3 linked regions of the Cricetulus griseus genome follow. The protein of the gene in region 3 purifies or fractionates together with the protein of the main gene of each other region. This does not show direct contact. Links are inferred from orthologs where the notes say so. Each region holds a gene or a part of one and is shown on either strand. Other genes may lie near its edges.

What was found. The genes of interacting proteins can lie anywhere in the genome.
Region 1: the proteins of Mms19 (region 3) and Ciao3 purify together in Homo sapiens (affinity purification with mass spectrometry; 3 studies listed by BioGRID and IntAct, with this or other methods). This does not show direct contact. The link is inferred for Cricetulus griseus from reciprocal best matches to the Homo sapiens genes MMS19 and CIAO3.
Region 2: the proteins of Mms19 (region 3) and Brip1 purify together in Homo sapiens (affinity purification with western blotting; 3 studies listed by BioGRID and IntAct, with this or other methods). This does not show direct contact. The link is inferred for Cricetulus griseus from reciprocal best matches to the Homo sapiens genes MMS19 and BRIP1.

Annotation. Positions count from the first base shown.
Region 1 is NC_048600.1:45,400,883-45,404,515, reverse strand, and holds the end of Ciao3 (cytosolic iron-sulfur assembly component 3), read right to left. Parts: intron 3,348-3,633; coding exon 3,218-3,347; intron 2,749-3,217; coding exon 2,676-2,748; intron 2,390-2,675; coding exon 2,252-2,389; intron 1,806-2,251; coding exon 1,648-1,805; intron 1,496-1,647; coding exon 1,257-1,495; 3' UTR 640-1,256; downstream 1-639. Other genes in the region: Haghl (hydroxyacylglutathione hydrolase-like protein), read left to right, coding at 200-368.
Region 2 is NC_048600.1:99,407,046-99,410,694, forward strand, and holds part of Brip1 (Fanconi anemia group J protein), read right to left. Parts: intron 954-3,649; coding exon 732-953; intron 1-731. UniProt on the Homo sapiens protein: DNA-dependent ATPase and 5'-3' DNA helicase required for the maintenance of chromosomal stability. Acts late in the Fanconi anemia pathway, after FANCD2 ubiquitination.
Region 3 is NC_048596.1:19,594,172-19,597,820, reverse strand, and holds part of Mms19 (MMS19 nucleotide excision repair protein homolog), read right to left. Parts: intron 3,218-3,649; coding exon 3,140-3,217; intron 2,579-3,139; coding exon 2,440-2,578; intron 2,208-2,439; exon of another isoform or gene 2,185-2,207; coding exon 2,030-2,184; intron 1,803-2,029; coding exon 1,724-1,802; intron 1,524-1,723; coding exon 1,398-1,523; intron 1,225-1,397; coding exon 1,143-1,224; intron 713-1,142; coding exon 612-712; intron 520-611; coding exon 370-519; intron 1-369. UniProt on the Homo sapiens protein: Key component of the cytosolic iron-sulfur protein assembly (CIA) complex, a multiprotein complex that mediates the incorporation of iron-sulfur cluster into apoproteins specifically involved in DNA metabolism and genomic integrity.

The DNA of each region.
Region 1 (3,633 bases), on a different chromosome or scaffold from region 3:
TGGCATCCTTGGGGCCTCTTTGGCAGTCATTTGGGTAGTTAGGAGGGTATCTAGGGATTATTTATTGAGCTGAATGTCCCTGGCACCAGGGAAGGGCATTTGTTAAGGGCCCTCCTCCTTCCATCCACTGCCCTGCTGGGCCCCACCCTCATGGGCAGCTGGCCAGCCCCACAATTCCCCAGCATACTCTTCCCTGTAGAGAGGATCCAGTTCGTGAGTTCACAGGCCAAGTGGCACCTGCCCAGGTCCTGGAGGTACTCTGCAGGGAGCGAGCACGCTTCCAACTTGCTTTGGAGCCACTGCAGCCCCAGGTCCGGGCACTCCTGGCCTTGCAGTGGGGACTTCTGAGTACGCCCCAGGAAAAATGAGCCTGCTTGTCTTCACACCCCTTCTCCGGACAGCAACTGACTTCAGTTCAGTTCCAGCCTGAACTTCAGGCTGACTGGAACCCTGGCCCCCAGAACATCCCTCTGAGGCCTTCCACCCTGCTTTGTAGAACCAGCAAACGGTGCTGTCCTTGTCTCTACTGCTCATGGTACCACTCTTGTGGACCTTGAGACATATGTGTCCTGGGGACTGAGAAGGGGAATGAATAAAATTTTGAAAGGCTCAGTGTGGTGTCAGACATGCAGCAGATGCTTCCAGAAGTGCAGACCTGTTTATTAGTGGTGAGGCTGGGTGAGTGACAAGCTCAGTGAGACTCAGCTATGGACTTCTCACAGCCATACAGGCTTGGTGCTGACAGACTGCCCAAACGGCAAGGCCCCAGCAAGCAGCCAGTTTTTAAGAGGATCAGGTGCCCCACTAGACTCAGGCTTGATACCTGCCCTATACATTTTAGCTTCAGGAGTTAGCCACAGAAATGAAACTGTGCTCATAACCCAGAGGGCTGGGCAGGGAAGATGCCCATGGCCCTAGGCCAGTAGAAGAGATTCTGGAACCTCATTGAACCTTTGGCCCCCTTGGCTACCCGGACCCTGCTTGCACTTCTACCCTGCAGAGCTCAGTGTGGAATCTGGAGGTGCATGGGCCATGGCAACATTACCAACCAGAGGCACGCAGGTCATGTACTGCCAAGGACCCACATGCAGCTAGTGCCCCACTTTAGCACACAATCCAACACATCCTTGTAGCTCTCCTTGAATTTTGAAGGTCTCCAGTGTGTTCTCTGTGTGGAATCCGTTGCTGATACACACATGGTCTTCCTGGGAGTGTTGGTGCTGGCCCCTGGGGCTCTCACAGCCTCTCAAGGCCTCCTACCACCTGATGCTGATGCCCGAGTTGGTCTTCTCCACGGCATGGTATTGTGTGTGCAACAGGCGGCTGGCCTGCTCGGAGCCCTCACCTTGCAGCCAGTGCTGGTACAGCTCCTGGACCCCAGGTGCGTCTTCGGGTGCCTCATTCCTCACCATGCTGTACAGTTTTTCCACTTGCTGGAGGAGCTCCCTGCCTTGCATATCTGGGGCCTTGAGCTGGCCCCCTCCATTCAAGCAGCCTGTAGCAGAGCACAGGCATGGTGGTGGGAAGTCAGGGTTTAGCCCTCTAACCCTTGGGTGTGTGTGGGGAGGGGACCTGCCCCCCCCTCCTGTCCAACCCCTTCCTCCTTCCACTGGTGGCAGGCTGCTGTGCTAGACTAGGAGGAACTACCTGAAGGGCAGGCCATGACTTCCACATAATGGTAGGGACAGCGACCTCGCTTCAGCTTCTGCACAAGGTTCTGGATGTTGCGGAAACCATAGGCCACAGCAAAGCGCAACAGCACCTGGCCTTCCCTCTCCAGTGTCACTTCCTGGAAGTCCTTGTTCCTGAAAGCGTAGAAATAGGCTCGTGAAACTGCACATTGCATGCAAACCTGTCCCTGCCCAGGTGCAGACGCCTCCTGGGGTTTAGCACACCACCATCTGACTCTGTCCCTTTCCGATTGCAGGCAGGGCAGGGATGATGGAGAGGGGGACACAGTTTGCATCCATGGGCCCAGGTAACCTCACCCCAACCTTGACCTCCTTAGCTAACAGGATTGTTTTTCCCAAGGGCAGCCATGAAGCCCAGCAAAGTGTGACACCCCAGCCCCAGGTGCTATACCCATGCCAGGCACCTGCTAGTCCTTGTGTGTGTTGCCCTGGCTCAGGGTCCCTGCTGAAACTGAGGACAGTACACTGGCCTGTTTGCTCATGCCTCATGCTTGTAAGAGGGGACCCAAGAGTTCCAGGGGTCTTTCCCCCAAGTTCACTTCAGTGCTTGCCCCACTAACCTCATGGGTTGGTAGGTAACGTCGGCCACATGGATTCCAAAGAGCTCTTGGGCTGCGTGCCGGAACACATGCTCCAGGTAGCCTCCTGAGCCTCCACCCCGATGGCTGGTGGGCTCCTCAGCAGACACACTACAGGTTCTGGGAGAGGGGCGGGTCAGTGCAGGAGGCTGGGGCTCAATACAGCTCTTGTAGTCAGACCTTAAGAACTGTTCTTATGGTGGCCCTGGGAAGCTCAGATGGCTTCTAGAGCAGGCTCTGCTTTGACACTGTAACTCAGCCACTCTTGGGCCCCAGCCAGGCTGTGGGGAGGTCTGGAGTCAGCCAGAAGGCAGCCTGGGTAGAAAGGAGGGGACAAGACACTGCCCCACCCCACAGGCAGCATCTAATCCCAAATAAAGGTTCTCAGTCCCCACCACCAACTCACAAGCCATCCAGGGGCACAGGCTCCAGCTCCAAGAGTGACACTCCTTCTTCCTCCAGCATCCTAAAGACTTCTCCTACAGAGAACACATCACATGCTCTAGCTGGCCTCAGAATGCTGAGCTGTATGTGTTGTCCCCAGAGGGACACTCACTCCCATTTGTGGTGGGATGGTTGAGTCTAGCCAGCCTCTGCAGACCTACTGGAAGGTGTTCCTTCCTGGAGCATTGTAAAGGCAGGGCCACTCTGCCAGTCCAGGGGCAGGCTGTTTAGTCTTCTAAACAGTTTATTTTCCTGACTCTTCAGTAGGACAGGCTACTCTACTCAGAAGTGGGGTGAAGGTATGAACCACAGGGACTAGACTTGAGACCTTGTTTGCCCTCAAGACTCATTTTTAAACCAGCAAGAATATATTACAGGGGCTCCATTGGTCACAGGATCCTGGGAGGCACTGTGGGAAGGCCCGGCTATCTGCTGGACTCTAGTGCTTGGCTCTAGGGGAGCCCTAAAGACAGCAGAGGGTAGAGTTATGCATAGTGCCTGCACCTGTTGTAAGGACACAGTCCACGTCACGGGTCTGGTACTTCTGGTTGAAGAAGTCAGGTCTAGATGCTTCTAGCTTTTTGTCATAGCAGGGCATCACTGTCACATGGTAGATCTTGTCTGGAGTCAGATGCTACAGAGAGGGTATAGAAAGCGTCAGTTCCATCTAAGCCAAGCTCAGAAGTGGCCTCAACGAAAGGTGAGGCAGAGTGACTGCCAGGCATGACTCGAGCAGTTACTCACGCCCACTAGCCATCATATGACCACAGTCACACATTACCTCTCCTGCTTCTGTCCCTGACAGCCAGTGGCAACAGAGGAGATAAGCTCTCACTGCCTTTGAAAGAAAGAACACGTCGCAGTGGAAAAAGCACAGACTCGAGGGAAGTGTGGCCATGCACATGTAGAGGGAAGGCAAA
Region 2 (3,649 bases), on a different chromosome or scaffold from region 3:
AATTCACAAAGCGGGCTGAAGAGATGGCTCAGAGGTTAAGAGCACTGACTGCTCTTCCAGAGGTCCTGAGTTCAATTCCCAGCAACCACATGGGGTGGCTCACAACCACCTTGAATGAGATCTGGTGCCCTCTGTTGGCGTGCAGGGCATATGCAGACAGAGACTGTATACTTAATAAATAAAATCTTAAAAAAAAAAAATTCACAAAGCCCAACTTTCATAGTACTTATCCTCTTAATATAACTTCTTCAAAAACAGTTATTTTTCCCCCAGAGAAATGTTTTTAAATAATTCTCAACTTCATAAATGGAGAGAACAACAGTTATATAATGGTCTTCAATGGGGACAATTTTGTTCCACGGGGGTAATTTGGACATTGGGCAATGTCTAGAGGTATCTCAGACAGTGACAACTGTAAGGATTCTAAACATCACAAAGCAGAGACATCCCATCACAGCCAAGATTCCTCCAGACTAATGTGAAGACTCAAGTCAAGCCTAAGGAACACACTACAGTTCCGTTTCAGTCCATTAGAGCCTTAACTGTTTATTACTTTGGAAATTAGAATAACTGGATTTAAAAGTCACTTCTTAATTCACCTTAGAACATGTTTTCAGTGCACTACATAAATTCAATACAGAGGGGGAAAGGCATAAAACATCTAAAAGCCTTTACATTCATCACTTTTATCCCATAAGTAGGGGAAAGTTCTAATTTTCACATATACTCACACTTTCCCGTATTTGTGCATCCAAGAGGTAGTTGTAGGGACAAAATATTATGTCAGCCTCATCTATCAGTTCCCGAGCTGTGTAGTAGGGACATGCCTTCAGTTTCCTCCCGAGGCTGACAAGCTCTTCTATGTCCCAGGCTTTGGACATTCCCGGAAAGGACTGCAATGTGTGCTGATTATTAATTCTATGGACACCATGATAAAAATAGCAGGATTTACCCTGAAAACAGACAAAACTGAAATGTGAGCCAATTCTGGAATAGAAGGAATAAAGTTAAGATTATCTCAGAACTGTAAAAAGATCGCTAAAGCCAAAAGCTAATACTTTATAGAGAAAACAAATACTTCTGTATTTATAATCACAACCTATCTTCCTGCCAAGACACAGGAATCTCACTATGTTGCCCATATTGACTTTGAACTCTTGGGCTCAAGTGATCCCCCGCTTCACCCTCCCAAGTAGCTGGAATTACAAGTTATATTCAAAACCATTATATTCAAAGAAATTGTAGTAGTTGACTCAGAATGAGAAAGAACTCCCAATACAAAATAAACAAGAAAAACATATTTATATTGTTTGATGTAGCTGTGCCATTAGCCATGAAGCATTTCTAGAAGGATGAACAAAGCAATGGCATTTCCTGCTGCTTTTAGATTAGAATTAGGTGACAGGCATAAGGGGAAATTTCTCTTGATTCTCTTGTCTTTTCAAATTTAAGCCATGTGACAATATTAGAAAGAAGGAAATAAGAAAGGGAGAGGAGGGGAAAATGGAAGGGGAGGAGAAAGAAATAAGGCAGGACTATCTTGAGGGAAAAAATAAAGAGGGATAACTACAAAAAAAAATCATAAAATATAAGAGTACCCCCAAAATTCCAAATTATATTAATCAAAACATATACTATTGACATCTTCATGTATCTCATGTTTTTCTTATATACATGTACAAAAAGTTACATCTATATAAAATGGCCCAATATTAAGATAAAAACAAACTGCTATCAAGAAAACTTCATTTCACTGTTGTTCATATCTGTATACTGAGTTAATGTGACAGGACTGAACTAGTTTCCCTCATACCAGGCATGTAGACTGTCCTCATGTCTGCAAGACAAGCACCTCAGCTGAGCCAACTACCCAGTCCCCATCTTTGCCTATGTGAAAAACAAAACCTTTTGATTTGTACTTTCTATAATTTCTGTCTATCAAGGTATAACATTTCTTTGAATGAACACCCTTGTGTGTGTGGTACTGGATACTGAGTCTGGGACCTCACTGAGTCACAATCTCTAGTCCTTGTATGAACATTCACCAGAAGGACCACAGTGATTTCTATTGCTTGCTTGCTTGCTTTATTCCTTCCTTTCTTTTTTTTTCCGGAGTCAGGGTTTCTCTGTATAGCTTTGTAAACCAGGCTGGCCTCGAACTCACAGAGATCTGCCTGCCTCTGTCTCCCAAGTGCTGGAGTTAAAGGCGTGCGCCACCACCACCTGGTAATTTCTATTTCTTCATGTTATCTATTAATGTCTTTGCTAGTATGTTGTTGGAAGTAAAATATATATTACAAGTATCAATAAAAAATTAAAATTTATAAAAAAAATAAAATTTTGTTAGCTCACTCCGAGTATGAATATGTCATATATCAATTTTCACTGTATGAAAATGGGGGCAAGAGAGACATCTCAGTGATAAAGAGTACTTATTGCTCTTGCAAAAGACCTGGGTTTGGTTCATAGCACACACATGGCAACTCACAACCACCTTAACTCCAGTACTGGGCATGTGATGCCCTCTTCTGGCCTTCACACATGTAGTGTGTGCATGAAGGCTCATCACATACATACACATTAAAAAAAAAATCTAAGTTGCCTAAAATTAGCTCAGCATGTGGCAGGTGCCAGTAATCCAACCAAGCACATGGGAAACTGAGGCTGGAGGATAAATTTAAGGTCTACTGAGCTCCATAGCAATATTCCCAATTAAAACAATAATTTAATTAAATAAGAGAATGAATAAATAAAACGCATGAAACTAATAGTCATATTACAAAAAAATTAACAAAAGTTTAAGCCTTGAGTAATAAAAATACTAGAAGCTTTGAATAATAATATACAATTTGCCAAAACATCAAAGTTCTGATTTTTATTATCAATGTACACTGATGACAAAAATTAGATACACGACAGTTTCATAGCAAAAAAAAAAAAAAAAAAAAAAAAAACCAAAACTATAACTAAACCCAATTTCTATGACCAATAGCAGACATGTTAAGTAATTTTTAAAAAGATACACCCTTTTAAGGGCAGGTTCAGTTGCATTTGCCTTTCATCCCAGCACTCAGGAGGCAGAGGCAGGCAGATCTCAGAGTTTGAGGCCAGTCTGATCTACAGAGCGAGTTCCAGGCCAGCCAAAGCTACATAATGAGACTTTGTTTAAAAAACAAATCAAATGATATACACTTTTAAGTGAGTGTGCTATTTGTTAGGTTCTCTAATGATGCTATGATGAGAAAAATAGTCACCAAATGTGTAAAAGTATGACTAAGTTTGTGTAAAATGTCCTTGCTTAAAGAATAAATATGCATATATACTCTAGCAAATAATATCTGTTTTTAAACTTTCTGGCAAAATACACACAGAAGTTTACAACAGTTTCCTTGAAGGGTTAGAGGACAGAAGGAGCTGGATGACCGGAATTATACTGGGCAAGCTTTGACTCGTATATGCATGTACCTGAGTTACTCCATGTGTTACTTTTATTTCTTTTCTTTCTGGGTAAGGGAAAGCAGGCTCTTCTTTTTTGTTGTTGTTGTTTTGTTTTTTGTTTTTTGGAGATAGGGTTTCTCTGTGGCTTTGGAGCCTATCCTGGAACTAGCTCTTGTAGACCAGGCTGGTCTCGAACTCACAGAGTCTGCCT
Region 3 (3,649 bases):
CATCTCCCCAGGCCCAGGAGACAATACGGTAACTATTGATAACAACAGTTTCTTGAATACTACAAAGTACCTAATAGACATGATTCAGAACACACCCAAGACACAAAAAAGGAAGATATGTGAGCTGATAGATGCACTTTCTTTCTTTAGGTGTATTTGTATTAAACCATCATACTGTACAACCATAAATATGTATCTACTTATGGTGTTACTATATTAATATTACTATAATTACTAGGTACTGATTTTTAAAAAGCTTATCATGTTACTGCTGTACATGCACAACAACTACAATTAGAACTTTACAGTTCCTAGCCCAGGGATCCATCCATTCAGCCCGAACCCCTTGAAAACATCACTGGTAGTTACCCTTGTTTGCCTGACAGAGCCGCTGCAGCAGCAGAGGCAGTGTCTCCCTGACAATGCTGGGATGTGTTGAAATGGCTGACAAAGCTTGCAGACAGCAGAAATGCCGGGAACACTTCATGAGACCATCCTCTCTAGCAACATCCGACTTCCCTGAAAGCAATTGGTGAGTTAAGTTTTCACTGTGTGATGGTGTGAAGGCCCTCCTTGCTGGAAAGGATTGGGCAACAGATTGGCACATGTACCTTTATGCAGCTCTTTAGCAAGCTTGGGTAGCAGGTGGCTGCTGAAGGCTCCAGGATAGAGTGTAGTCAGAGTTCCCGATGCCTCCAGTGCTGCCACCCTACTGGGGACAAAGAGGAGTATTAGTTGAGCTTTGGCCCATCATTCTCTTCCCAAGACCTGACAGCAGTAAGATCAGAATGGGCTCTTGTGTCTACTTTGCTGAAGAGCAAGACCCAAGTCCTATAGCACTTAGTTTGATAGGTTGTCGTCATCATCATCATCATTTTTTTTCTAGACAGTGTTTCTCTGTGTAGCCCTGGATGTCCTGGAATGCACTATGCAGATCAGGCTGGCCTCAAACTCACAGAGATCCGCCTGCCTCTGTCTCCCAAGTGTTCGGATTAAAGGCCTGCACCACCACTGCCCAGCTGGGTACAAGAGAGAGTAGCCCACATCTTCCCAACCACTCAGTGTACACTCTGGCCTTTGCTACAGCTGCTGATACAAAGCTAGGGAAACATTTGCTCTTCTTCACTGCTTTAGATTCTCACCAACTCTCAGAATCTTCCTCCAGGAAGCTCAGTCGGTACAGGTGACCTACAGCCAGCTCCAAGTCCCCAGAAGATAGGAGATCTGTAGTTAGAAAGAACAAACTTCATCTTTCCTTCCTTGTAGCCACCACCCTTCCAAGAAATCCTATCAGAAATTCACACCATCCAGTACTGCAATGAAGAGGAAATCACTGCTCTTCACTTCAGACAGATAATACTTATCCTTATCCTTATCTTTTCTCATTCAAGACATACCTGGCTGAGAACCCAAAACTGTGAGTGTCCGGATGCCTACAAGCTGAAGCTGGGTGCTGGGGTCTGTCAGAGCCATGAACACCAATGAGCACAGCTGGTCCTTGAAGCGAGTCAGAGGCCTTTCATCTAGAAGAGACAGAGGCCAGGTCAGAAGGGCTTACAGCCCATCTCTGACTACAGTGCTGCAGACAACTTAGGGCAGATTTTAAGAACTCGCTCTGAACAGGTCCACTCTCCTAGACTACTCTGTGGCACACTGCTGCTGTACTCCTGGGCAATAGGACTCAACAATTGCCCAGGGTAACTCATCTTCAAAGTGATCTCACCTTTGTCTTCATAGCTCCATTTCTGCTGTAGCTTTAAGAAACCCAGGATCATTTCAAGGATTGTTCGCCGTTGGTTGCTCTGCAATATTTCAAGGAGTACTGGGGTCAAAGAATATTTTAACGGATTTCAGTTCTGATACTCTAAGAATTAACTTTTTATGTAAGACTGAGACTATGTATGTGAGAATGAACAAGTGGAAAAGCAGCTGCTAACAGGAGAAAACCCCAAATCTATCTGGGCCCAAACTAGAGCTTCAATCTCTCCAAGAAAAGGACCATAGCACCAAGTCCCACCTGATCCCTTACCTGACTGTGCTTGTGGAACTGTTCCAGCAGCAAGGGAAGCACAGTGCTGGTGATGTGCTCACAGGCCCGGGCAGATGCACCTGCAGCAGCCTGCAACAGCTTGGCACTAGGCCATACCAGTTTCATGTCTGGTTCACACAGATGGTGCCTGCAGTCTAGAGAGGCAGCAATCACAGACCTGGAGAGTAGGTCAAATATTGCCTGATTCCCTTTTATCCATAGGGATTGCTGACTGACACTTGGAATTATTTGCTAGCAGTTACCATCTAATTGTCTTCAATACAAAGTAGGCCTGCAGCCCCCAAATCACTGAACACATGGGAGCCACCCATAAAGGGCCACTGGCCCTAAAGGAATGCTAGCTCTAAGGTGCTCACTCCCTTTGCTGGCAGCCTCCATGGTCCCATTACCCTGTAGAATGTTGCTGAGGAAGGAGTCAAGGAGGTCCTCGGCATCAGCCCTCAGCACAGAGCAAGACAAACACGCAGTCAGGGAGTGGAGGGCTGCTAGGCCCTCTGCCTCTACTCGCTCACTTGCCGTCTGGAACACCTGTCAGGGAGGGATCCCATGGCTACTAAGGTGAGCTTGTACCAGATGAGGCCCCACCCATCCACTACCTTTTTTCTTGGGCTCAGAAGGATATGTGCTTGAGAAAGTTTGGGGCACAGCAATGATAGCTAAAACTCCCAACCTAGTATCTTTTTCGTTGGTTCAACAAGTTTTTGTCCCAATAGGAATGACACATACATCTTGTAGAAACAAGTTACCAACTCTGAACTGAGGTTATTGTAACCTTATTTTAAGTCCTTTTCGCTACCTTTACTTTTAGATGGTGCCAGAAACACAATGACCTAGGCTCCTTGCCACGAGAGGCAGGAAGTAGGTGTTGTGCAAAGGTGGTCTGTACTATCACCAAGCAGGCAGCCCTCACAAGGGAGCTGTCTCCCTTGCCATTCAAGTGGAAGTCTATCTATCCACTTGCCTGTTCACTGAAATAAAAGAAACATAGCACCTTGACCCTGGGGAGATAGGGAAGAGGGCAAAGAAGGAACATTACTTCTCATGTCTGACATCCGTCAGTTAACAGCAGTGAGTTAACCTAACACTCACCTCTCTGCGGATAGAAGCCCAAAGGCTGGGGAGGAAGTCCTTCAGTTCCTTCTGTCCATACACAGAACAGCAAGCATTCTGCCAAGAAAACCACAGGCATCAGCAAACTTACATTCAAGATGCTCTGGGATAAATGGTAGACTCTGAATGAGGTAGACTCTAGCAGAAAACCTTCCAGGTGTCCTAACAGTCAAGAACCCAGGGCACAGAAAACAGCTTACCCTGACTCTTAAGAAAGCACAAGGCTGATGTAGCCCAGTGGATCAGTGTTTACCTAAGATATATGAAGCTCTAGATTCAATTTCCAGCATACCCTCCCCTAAAACAAAGTCCGGAGTGGCAACAAAGGACTAATCTCAGTACTTGGGAGGTGGAGGTAAAAAGATCAGGAATTCAAGGCCAGCCCAGGCTAAGAGACCCTTTCTCAAAAATCCAAAAACAAAAAGTTGAGCACTGACCGGTTTTCAGCTATACAGCGTAAGCCAATATGAATGCAACATAGTGCTTAAA